Linked DNA regions of Arabidopsis thaliana. The protein of the gene in region 1 interacts with the protein of each later gene in a pairwise test. Each region holds a gene or a part of one and is shown on either strand. Other genes may lie near its edges. The genes, in order: POLH and PCNA2.

What was found.
Region 2: the proteins of POLH (region 1) and PCNA2 interact in a two-hybrid assay, tested with the Arabidopsis thaliana proteins (one study listed by BioGRID).

What each region holds. Positions count from the first base shown.
Region 1 is NC_003076.8:18,047,191-18,053,867, forward strand, and holds POLH (Y-family DNA polymerase H), read right to left. Parts: upstream 4,707-6,677; 5' UTR 4,590-4,706; coding exon 4,514-4,589; exon of another isoform or gene 4,233-4,513; coding exon 4,112-4,232; intron 4,022-4,111; coding exon 3,910-4,021; intron 3,816-3,909; coding exon 3,645-3,815; intron 3,561-3,644; coding exon 3,396-3,560; intron 3,322-3,395; coding exon 3,218-3,321; intron 2,981-3,217; coding exon 2,861-2,980; intron 2,661-2,860; coding exon 2,537-2,660; intron 2,344-2,536; coding exon 2,230-2,343; intron 2,149-2,229; coding exon 1,933-2,148; intron 1,831-1,932; coding exon 1,731-1,830; intron 1,640-1,730; coding exon 1,509-1,639; intron 1,255-1,508; coding exon 1,135-1,254; intron 1,058-1,134; coding exon 713-1,057; 3' UTR 543-712; downstream 1-542. Other genes in the region: REV1 (DNA-directed DNA polymerase), read left to right, coding at 5,479-5,645, 5,855-5,999, 6,186-6,301, 6,378-6,454, 6,610-6,677. UniProt on the Arabidopsis thaliana protein: Error-free DNA polymerase specifically involved in DNA repair. Plays an important role in translesion synthesis (TLS), where the normal high fidelity DNA polymerases cannot proceed and DNA synthesis stalls.
Region 2 is NC_003071.7:12,649,397-12,654,029, forward strand, and holds PCNA2 (proliferating cell nuclear antigen 2), read right to left. Parts: upstream 2,358-4,633; 5' UTR 2,203-2,357; coding exon 1,884-2,202; intron 1,396-1,883; coding exon 1,243-1,395; intron 1,160-1,242; coding exon 1,062-1,159; intron 968-1,061; coding exon 743-967; 3' UTR 510-742; downstream 1-509. Other genes in the region: ENOC (cytosolic enolase), read left to right, coding at 227-298; MAC5B (CCCH-type zinc fingerfamily protein with RNA-binding domain-containing protein), read left to right, coding at 2,615-2,719, 3,115-3,384, 3,505-3,728, 3,910-4,633. UniProt on the Arabidopsis thaliana protein: This protein is an auxiliary protein of DNA polymerase delta and is involved in the control of eukaryotic DNA replication by increasing the polymerase's processibility during elongation of the leading strand. May be involved in UV resistance.

The DNA.
Region 1 (6,677 bases):
AGTAAACCCATTGGATGGCATGACAGTGGCCTGCAGTATTGTCCTAACCCCAAAAACGGTTTCAGGTTTTCGAATTTTGTGTTTTCTTTTTTACCGTTTTTACGCTCAAAATGAAGTAAAAATGTTTTGATAGCAAACAAACTTATGGTAGTTCAACCTTACCAAAAAAAAAAATCCTCCTTACCAAAAAAAAAACTTATGTTAGGTCAATTAATATTAGAGAATTCTATTCTAGAAAGTAGGATGAAAAATAAGTTAGTTAAGAAAAAAGTCATATTTAGGCGAAGTTGTAATTAACATTTCGATTGATTTGACTTTTGAAAATAAAATGTAATCGTTTGATATAGAATTGATCCAAAAAGAACTCATACTAGAGAAACTAGAGCAATTAGGTAGGATGTTTGAATATTTCATGAGATTCCGTGGTTGAGCAAAGATATACAAACTTCTGATAAACCTTCTATCACTTCTTCACATGTTTACCAAAAAAAAAAAAAAACCCTTCTATCACTGTGCATACCATAAAAAACAAGAGGTCTCGATGGATTTTAAAGACGATATATATATATTTAGTTTTTCTATTGCTCAAAAATGACATTTTTAATAGGATTTAAGCATAATATATCTGTAGTACTCAAGATACAAGACCAAATCTAAGGTAGACAAGGACTACACTATATACAGTCAACAACAGAGACAAAGGAGCTTAGATCTATCTATTCAATGGTGGAAAATAATGAGCAATGCTTGAAGTAGAACCATCACCTTTGCTTTTACCGGTGTTAAACTGCTTATTGGTGCGTAGGAAACTCCTGAGTTCTCGTTGAATCTCAACCGGTAATTCATCGAAAACTGACTGATCGATTTCATCAGTCTTATATCCCCAATCTGTTTCTCTACTCTCTTCTACCTCTTGATTCACTTGACTATTATGGCTGCTGCTACTTAACTTTGCTCTTTTACTGGCTGATGACACTGTGGAATCTTCTTGAGTCTCTTGTTTTGATGGAGGTGTTGCATTGTAATTCTTAAAGATATCGACAATTGAAGGCATTCCCTGAGAACAAACAAGCAAACAAATCTCAGTAAAGGTAGAAGCTTTTCGTGCACCAAACAAAGCAATATATTGCGTACCCGATTCTTTTCTTTCGAGTTGTTCATCTTCCGCCCAATTTTCTTTGTCTGTGTGCCTTTGTTTGATTCTGATTGGGTAGAAACATCCGTTGCTTCGTTTGATGGACAAGAGACAACATCCTGACAAGGAATGTGTGGAATTGGTTCTTCAAGGATACACAATTTAAGAACATATATATAAGCTCTTGAGTCATTCAAACACTACAGGGCCTAACCAATCACTTCGTTACCAGTTATAATTACTAAAGAAGCTCCTTTGAAAGTTGAAACTGAGAACGTAATTGAGCCTAAATATGTTTAGCCTTTTTGCTAGATCACACCTCTAAGAAAGGCCTAAAATATGCTTTAGAGTAAAGGGAAATGAGAGCTGATACCTTTTCGGAGACTAGATCAATGTCTTTATCTTGGTTTTCAAAATTAGGCAAAGTATAAGTTACACCGGTGTCTACTTCAGGCATTGCTGCTTGAGTTTCTGTTGACCTCTGTTCTGAACATCCTTCGCTAGCTGCACCAGTTGCAGATTAGATCACGACATTAAGTACCAGAATCAAGAGAAGTAGAAAGTTCTGAAAATATACAGAAATACTCTAGAATACCTGAAGCAGTCATCGCTACATTTCCTTGAACACAACCATCTGCTGAACGAGAAGGAACAGTAGGTTGACTTTGAAAATATCTCATGATCGAGCTTGTTCCCTACAGTAATAAGATATCACTCCTACCAAATCAGTGAAGAAACCAACCAATGTTTGAAAGAGATAAGTAAGTAGAAGACATTTAATGGCTCTAAGAACTTACAGATGGTATATCAACAATTTTACTCGCTGAAACAGAAAGACCTGTTATCCTCCATGTCTCTAGCTTATTTCCTTGAGGTTTGATCCCGAAGGATCCCATGTACTCACGTAAGGCAGCTTGGAACAAGTTAAAGGCATCTTCTTGGATCTTGGTTACTCCATATCTCATAGGACATGATTTTGAAGGAAATTTCTTATGAGAATCTGAATCCTTTGACTGCAATATTTTTCAGGAAAAATATGTTTTAAGTCGTAGTCTTCGCAGAGAAAAATGATATATAACAAGAGAAGTAGGTACTCTGAAAGCGCTAGCATGAAGGGTAAGGGTGCTTGCAATCCGCTTATTCTGCTCCAAGTCAGAACCGAGGCGCTCGCTTAGTTCCTCGGAAAGCTGATTCAGCCAATGCTGAACCTAGAAATATAAGAGAACACAACACTTATTCTAAAAACTAGTTCTATGATATGATTGAAGATAAAAAGGGGATACTTTTGCTACTATTTTTCCAAAACGTTTCACCTCTATAAGCACTTTCAGTTATGACCTATCAACTAGAGCAACTGATAGCAAAGGGAAAAGAAGTGCATTGTTGAGATTCTACTCTTACAGTTGAGAGTGACTTCAAAGCACGAGGTCCGGGAAATGTCTTTCCAGAACCATGACTTTTGGGGAGAAGGCGACCTTGCACTTCTTCTCCACTGATCCCTCTTGCTATATTCCATAACCAAGTACTACAAGTCGGGGGAAAAATCAGAAAAACGTATTAATAGACAAACAAGCACGAGTTGCATGTCTTTAAATTTCTATTATCAAGCAAATAAGCAACTATTGGGAATTTAGTATGCTAGAAGGTACTAATCAAATAATGAACAATCTACAATAGCCTACGAGTCCAGGACAACAAAAATTCTATCTTTTCCAAAGCTATTACCCAGTATTTACTCCGTAATGTTCTTGTAGCTTCGTTTCAGAAAATTGCAGCAAGTCCCCTACTGTGTCAACTCCCAAGTCAGTTTGCAAGCTAGTGCCCAGCTTTCCTCCCAGTTGTTTCCTGCACGTTATGTCTAATTAGAGCTCAATGATTACCAGCACTAACTGAAAATTTTATGATCCTGGGACAGCGATAAAAGATGCAATACACAACTTTGGACTGTCTTACATCTTATAAAACACAGCTGTGTTGATACTGACGCAAATATTTAAGTGTATTCCGTAGAATGTGACAAATACTAAAAGTTCTCCTACGAAAATATGTGTTGTGATCAATACACTATTGAAACTTACTTACATTTTCTTTATTGGCAAGGAACTTAGTAATTCCTGTACAGCTGCATATGGTACAACTGTCTGCTGCGCAGGTTTGTTCATTCCACTAGCAAGTTTGGCTAGCATCTGCTTGTTGAAGTTATATGTTATTACTCGCCATACAAGCGATAAAAGGAAAACAAAATAAAATAGCTTCTTGCCTTGTTATGGGCTATGCCAGCAGAACAAGTAAACTCAGTCTCCTTAAGCACCTGTTTCCGGAGTTCTGCAACAATGATAATTCCACAACTTAATAACTTATCACGTCGATCAGCATCTTCTCGACAAATCCAATTGCGGACACTCTCCTTGAAATCATCTCCATCCTGAAAGTAAAATAAATAAATTCAGATCATAATATTGACTATCGACTATACTTTTGTTGGAGACTAAAAGACACCAAAACAGACCTCTCTGTTCATTCCAAGAATATGGGATTTAAGAACTTCCTCATCTATCAATTCCAAACTCTCTGGAGGTGCATCAGCAAGCATGCTTTCTGCTGCATCAGTGAGGTCAAGATACACTTCATCAATCGAAGCCCTCTCACATTTTCCGCTTTTTGCTAGAATCGAAACCACCTGCAGCGACAACACATAGAATGAGATGAATTTAGCAAATGTCATTGTTTAGACAAACACAAACAGTATAATAATAACTTCCACTTCCATCAACCTCAGAACCGGCACTGCGATATAAATTAAGGTCAGCTTTACCACGAGCCACAGGAACTTGAACCAATTGAATCTGAGGACAAGCAGCTTTAGCCTCATCACCTCTCATCGACCTGAACATTAACCCAAAACACAATTTTTCCCTATCCTCAAAAGATTGATACAATTGGGGGAAAGAAGCATTTCTGTAATTACACACTAACCGCTTTACGCCACATTTACGTGCTTCGTAACTAACAGCAATCAAACCACCACCTTGCCATTCATTGTACTGTACAACTGCACTAGGCAGTCCTCGCAACTCCGGTTGCTTCCTCTGCTCCACTAATCACTCACTCATAAAAAAATCCCTTAACCAGGTAAGTAAAGGAGACATTTTGATAAAATAGAAACAAAAAAGCACACTTTTTGGTATTTGGTAATTTCCCAAATCCCTAAAACAAACGCCAACGAGAAAAAAAAAGAAAAGAAACCGTTATTAAAATTCGATTGAAACCCAAAATTCCAACAAAGCTAAAAAGTTCAAAAAAAGTGTTAAAAAGCTTTGCTTTCTCTCACTAAAGCGTCTAGTGGCTGAATACAATTCGGGTTAGAGAGAGAAGGACCTTGAACGTAGAAGCAATCCATGTCGACATGAGCGATAACTCTAGCATCCGATGCTTCCGGTCTCGCTACCGGCATTTCTATTTCAGAAATCTCCGCAGAAATCAGAGGGAGAGAGAGAGAGAGAGAGAGAGTTTTTACCACCGAAAGAGGGGTTTCTTGGGGATGATGACTGATGAATAGCGCGCGAAAATAATAATTAGGAGAAAAAGCGAGACAGATTAATAAAATGAGAAAGTTTCAAAACGAACCCTCAAAGAAACTAAACTTTGCAAAATAACCCGTTTAGAACACAAGTAATTTGACAACAAAACATGAAATTCATTGTAATGATCTCAAACCCTAAATATTTCTCCAAATTTGCCGTGTCAAATTATTTGTAAAAATAGGTTGAAGATTGACATTGTTGTTTTTAGAGATTTAGTGTGGTAACAAAATTATGGACATCAAGCTGCATCTTTCGAATTATGGTTGATCGTTCGGTAGATAAACAAAAAGTATAGATAAAATATTTAATATTTATTCATTACATAAAATTTTTATTGAGTTTATTTTTATTTATATAAAACAATCATAAAAATAATATGGGTCATGTTTTTTTCATCCATTACTATTTGTTCACTACTATTATTAATTTCACTATTATTGTGAAATGTCGATTTTTATTGCTCATTAAATTTGGCTAGATAATCTTCACTAACTAAAGATTTGGATTCAAGAAAAACAATTTTCTCTCAATTATGTTTATGATTACAAAAATAAAATAAAAAAATTAGGTATTAAATTATAACTGTAAAAATTAAAACTTATGGGGATTTTTGGAAGTATATACAAGTTTAAGTACTAATCTGAAAATGTTTGTGTTTTAGTATATAAACCACTCACAGGTTGTGACTTTACAAATTGGAAAATTTCGTTGAATGCTTCTTCTTCTCCGTCTCGTTGAGATTCCTCCCCAACAACAACAATGAAGCGTAGCTTGGGTTCAAATTCTTCAAACAATAGTGGCAGTGGAAGTAACAAGAAGTCTAAGAAGAATAATAATCCGAGCAATCAGAAAACCCTAGGCGCGGCATGGGGCGCTGCTTCTTCTCGTTCTTCTTTCCGGTCTTCTCCTTTCTCCGATTTCGGAAGGTCTTTCTATCATTCTCTGCCATTTTAGTGTTGGGTAGTGGTTAGATTTTGAAATTCCCATGTAAAAGTTGAAACTTTCCCTCTGAAAAGTGATGTTCTGAGAAAGATTGAATTTTGGAAATTTTATGAAGTTAGAATGAAGTAAGATGCGTTAAGCATTGTTATACTATCGTGGTTGTTGATTATTTTTTTTATGTTTTTGATGTTAGTTACATGGAAGTGAAAAATAGGAAACTTCAGAACCAATTTGAGACTGAGGCTTCTGCTGCTTCTCGTGGTGTTTCGGGTTCTGAGAAACTTATTTTCCAAGGGGTTTCAATCTTTGTGGATGGGTTCACTATTCCTTCTCATCAGGTTTAAGCTCTATTGCTTTGGTTTCTACCCATTTTCAATTTTGTTGGTTTCTAGTTCTTTCCTGATTTGAAATGGCTTAACTCTTATATCGTACAAACTGTTGCAGGTGAATAAACCTTAGAATTTGTTGTAGTGCAGTTTTGCTGGTGGGTTATATGTGATTTAACAGTGTCTAGATCTGTGTAGGAGTTGAAAGGATACATGATGAAGTATGGTGGAAGATTTGAGAACTACTTTTCTAGGCGTTCTGTTACACATATCATTTGCAGCAACCTTCCAGATAGTAAAGTCAAGAATCTTAGGTTAGTTGTTTCTTTAAAATTCTTCGCTAATTTCTTGCAAGTTCGTGTCTTATAATGGATTTTTGTTTCCAATCAGGACATTCAGCAGAGGATTACCTGTTGTGAAACCTACATGGATAGTGGACTCTATCTCTGCCAACAGACTTCTGGGCTGTAAGTCTATACAAGATGATTTAGTTTCAGTTAAATCATGTAGACATAAGTATAAATGTTTGGATTTGATCATTGTCTACTGTCAACTTCGTATGCATTCATTTATCTTGCACACAATCTATTTAATCATCTGATTCAATGCCATCGCATCACAGGGGTTCCTTACCAGCTAGATCAACTAAATGATACCCAGCCAAAGTTGTCTGCCTTTTTTGCACCCAGA
Region 2 (4,633 bases), on another chromosome or scaffold:
TCTTTTTAGCTTTTAAGTAGCTGAGTTATGTTGTGGTATGTGAATCTTTAGCAACCTAGGCTAAGTTTCAGTTTCTTCAACTTTTGGCTAATGCAGCCTCAGCTTATAGATCCATAATGATTGAGTTTGGAGCAGCCATGTACATTTAGTTGCTAGATAGTGTTCTCATTTCATTGTAGAAACTACTTTATTAAAAAGCTGAATCACTGTTGAAATGTTCCTGCAGTTGCTACGGATAGAGGAAGAGCTTGGGGATCAAGCAGTGTATGCTGGAGAAGATTGGAAGCTATCTCTCTAAACAAAATGCACATGTGATATTAATTGTTACACTTCTCGTCTTACTTCATTGTTCTCGAGTCTATTTCTCACGCAGACAAATTCTTGTGTCTTGAAAGTTCAAATTTTTTGTTGTTTTTGCCAAATTTAAGAACAAACAGAAGTAAAGAGTGTTAAACATGTTTTTTACAAATTGTAAAAGCATCCAAAAACATCAATCAACACTAGTTCGTGAGGTTGCAGAAGCCACAAACAAACGTGTTTTAGGGCTTCGTGTCTTCTTTTTCTTCAATGTTTAACAAACAGATGAAAAGTGTTATAAACAAGCTTTTCCAAATTTCAGAAAGACAAACATCATACGATTATCTAGTTTAGCATTGCCTTAAGATAGTAAATCCAGAAAACAACTGAATCAAGACAGACATTTCAACAAAGGACTCGAACGAAGACTATCAAACATTCATCATTATTCTGGTTTGGTGTCTTCTTCTTCTTCAATCTTAGGCGCCAGATAGTATCGAATGTAACCCATCTCAGCCACCTTGTACTCCACCACGACCGGTAACTCAGAGGACAAACTGATGGTCACAGTTTCCGACAATGGAGTAGCCTTTGTGAAGGAGTTCATGTACCTCAATGCAAATGAAAGCGAAACAGGCTCGTTCATCTCTATCACAATAGCATCTTCAGGCTGCAAAACACACATACAAACATAAGGTCACTTCAACATTGTATTGGACAGATTATTAAACAAATCTCTCTAGATGACTAGTGATTGTTCATACTTTGTCGACGGTAGTATTCTGCCTGAGCACAATGTTTGCTGTCCCGATATCACCTGCTGTTGAAAACTTCACCCCTTCTTTTGTTACCGAGATCACAACTGCAAAATCATAACATCAAAACCAGAATCATGATTAGAGAATCCTCGCAGTGATACACCAAATAAACAAACAGTTCATTTACCTGTGTCACCAATGCTACTGAGATCTTTGCATATCCTGGAAAATTCACCAGAAGGCATTCTCACAATCGAGTGGTACTCAGCATCAGGAATTCCTAAATGCTCACTGTCGATATCCATCAGCTTCATCTCAAAATCTGCAATCTTGTCTTGTGCTGCATCATCAACACCATTTAAATAATGAGATTAACACCACATAGTCAATATCAAACAAAGTTCCTCTGTTAACTTTCACTAAATCAAGAAACTCTATTCACTTTCAAACTATAGTCTTTAAGCTAGAGACTATACCTATTCTGAAAACAAAAATGGAAGGACTCATTCTCATCAAGCAAGTTCTAGTTTCTGTCAAATGAAACCTATAAATAACAGTTCAGATCACTAATAACATCATTAACTACACAAAAACAAAGCCATATCAAACCTTATTCCAAACCAAAAACCCTCTATTAACATAGATTTTATCTTCTCTTTCATCTCTTACAAACTAAAGCTTTCAAGAAATGGACTGAATCATTCTCTACAATCATATTCTAGCTTCTGGCAAATCAAACCTATAAACACAGAATCAGGTCACCAATAGCATCAACATTGACAACAAAACCAAAGCCCTAACAAACAAAAATCGATTTGAAGAACTTACTGGGACTCTCAAACATGAAAGTAACAGTGTCGCTACCATCATCAGCTTTGATGGTGATGATATCATCATTTCCAGCACATTTCAGCATCTTAGACATATTACCAAGATTCATTCCCATAGAGAGGTTCCTATCGCATCTATAGTGCTCGAAACCTTCAGATCTAAGCAAAAGAGACACCAACGCGACATGGCTCGAATCCATAGCTTGAAGCGAGAACCCTGTGGTCGAACAGTCGAAGTTCGCATCGTTCACCAGATCTTTGACCGCTTCTAGAACCTTCTTCAGTAGAGAACCTTGAACTAAACGAAGCTCCAACATCTTCTGGGAAATTATCGAAAGGTTAGAGTGTGAATCGAAACGGTTAGGGTTTTTAGAGCTGTTGAAATTTCTGGGAGGAGATTGCAATTGTTAGCGGGAAGTGATATTATAAGCTGAGATTTTGTGGCGCCATTTAGCGATTTTAGGGTATTTTTGTTCCCGCCTGTGTGTGACGATGAATTATCATCTGTGTGAGTCCGTATTGTTTATTTCAGTACACCACCATCACTTTAAGCTTTCTTATTTCATGGGTTTAAATTGGGCCAAACAAACATTCGGCCCAACAGCAGCTGTAATATTAAAGATTCCCGAAAAAATCGAAACGAGAGCAAATCTGCTCTTCAAGGTAATCTTCGTGTTCGAGACTGAAGAAGAAATCCAGAAATCATTGAGGAAGGAAGAGAATTAGGAAATGGCGCATAGAATACTGAGAGATCACGAGGCTGATGGATGGGAACGTTCTGATTTCCCAATCATCTGTGAGTCTTGTCTCGGTGACAATCCTTACGTGAGAATGGTATATTCTTCGCTTCCTATGTTTCTCCTCAAACAAATTCGATTTCCTTGCCTTTAGCTAGATTTTTTTTTAACATTCATGTGTCTTTATTAAGATCTCCTTTCATTTGTCCATTTTCGAGCTTGTTTAATGCTTTTATGTTTCTTAGTGTTGAAGCTGCAATTTTAGTGATTTGAGATTTTAGGGTTTAAGCGATTTAATATACAATTCATAACCTTTGGTAAAAATCAGAATTCATGGAGTTGTAGTTCAAAATGATATCTTTGGTTTGTTCTGATCAAATTTGCTTAGAGGGAATGTAATTCATTGAATACTGTCTCATGTTATGTCTGGTAGTGATGTGCAGCTTCATGTTTGATTGATTGATTGATTTATTGTTGTTGTTTGGTATGTAGACAAAGGCGAATTACGATAAAGAGTGTAAGATCTGTACCCGGCCTTTCACGGTTTTCAGATGGCGACCTGGTAGGGATGCGAGATACAAGAAGACTGAAGTTTGTCAGACATGTTGCAAGTTGAAGAATGTGTGCCAAGTTTGTCTCTTGGATCTTGAGTATGGTCTTCCAGTTCAGGTCAGAGACACGGCGCTCAACATTAGTACTCATGATTCTATCCCAAAAAGTGATGTGAACCGAGAGTTTTTCGCTGAAGAGCATGATCGAAAGGTATGGTGACTCTGCGTTCTAACTAGTTATATTATTTGAGTATTGATTGGTTTGAGATTTGGCTATACAGTTTCTCTACTTTGTAATGGCCTATTGAAATGGTTTTGTTTTCTTGTGTAGACGAGAGCTGGACTAGATTATGAGTCTTCTTTTGGGAAGATTCGGCCCAACGATACCATTCGTATGCTTCAAAGGACAACGCCTTACTACAAAAGGAACCGAGCTCATATTTGTAGTTTCTTCATTAGGGGAGAGTGTACAAGAGGTGATGAGTGTCCATACCGTCATGAGATGCCTGAAACAGGAGAGTTATCCCAGCAGAACATTAAAGACCGTTATTATGGGTAAGCATACTTCTAACTTTCATTTTGTTTGAGTATGATAATATTGAGTTACTCCTCAATTTCTTGCTTTGGTATATCATGAAAGAGAGTTATGAAAAATACATCAGTTTGTGTGCGTAAACTGGCTGTTATTTTGGTGATATTGGAACTGTTTTCTCATCTTATTCTTCACTTCCTGCAGTGTAAACGATCCAGTTGCGTTGAAGTTACTTGGCAAGGCTGGGGAGATGGGTACTTTGGAATCTCCAGAGGATCAAAGCATCAGAACGCTTTATGTTGGTGGGCTAAACTCGAGAGTCCTTGAGCAAGACATTCGTGATCAATTCTACGCCCATGGAGAAATCGAATCCATCAGAATCTTGGCTGAGAAAGCATGTGCGTTTGTCACTTACACAACCCGAGAAGGAGCAGAGAAAGCTGCAGAAGAGCTCAGTAACAGGCTAGTTGTCAACGGTCAGAGGCTAAAACTCACATGGGGAAGACCTCAGGTTCCCAAACCTGATCAAGATGGTTCTAACCAACAGGGCAGTGTGGCTCATAGTGGTTTACTACCTCGAGCAGTTATATCTCAGCAACAGAATCAACCTCCACCAATGCTACAATACTATATGCACCCACCACCACCACAACCTCCTCATCAAGACAGACCATTTTACCCATCAATGGACCCTCAGAGAATGGGTGCAGTTAGTTCGTCCAAAGAAAGCGGTTCAAGCACCAGTGACAACAGAGGAGCTTCTTCTTCTTCTTACACTATGCCACCACATGGCCACTATCCTCAGCACCAGCCATACCCGCCACCATCATATGGAGGATATATGCAACCACCTTACCAGCAGTATCCTCCTTACCACCATGGCCATTCACAACAAGCTGATCATGATTACCCACAACAACCAGGTCCC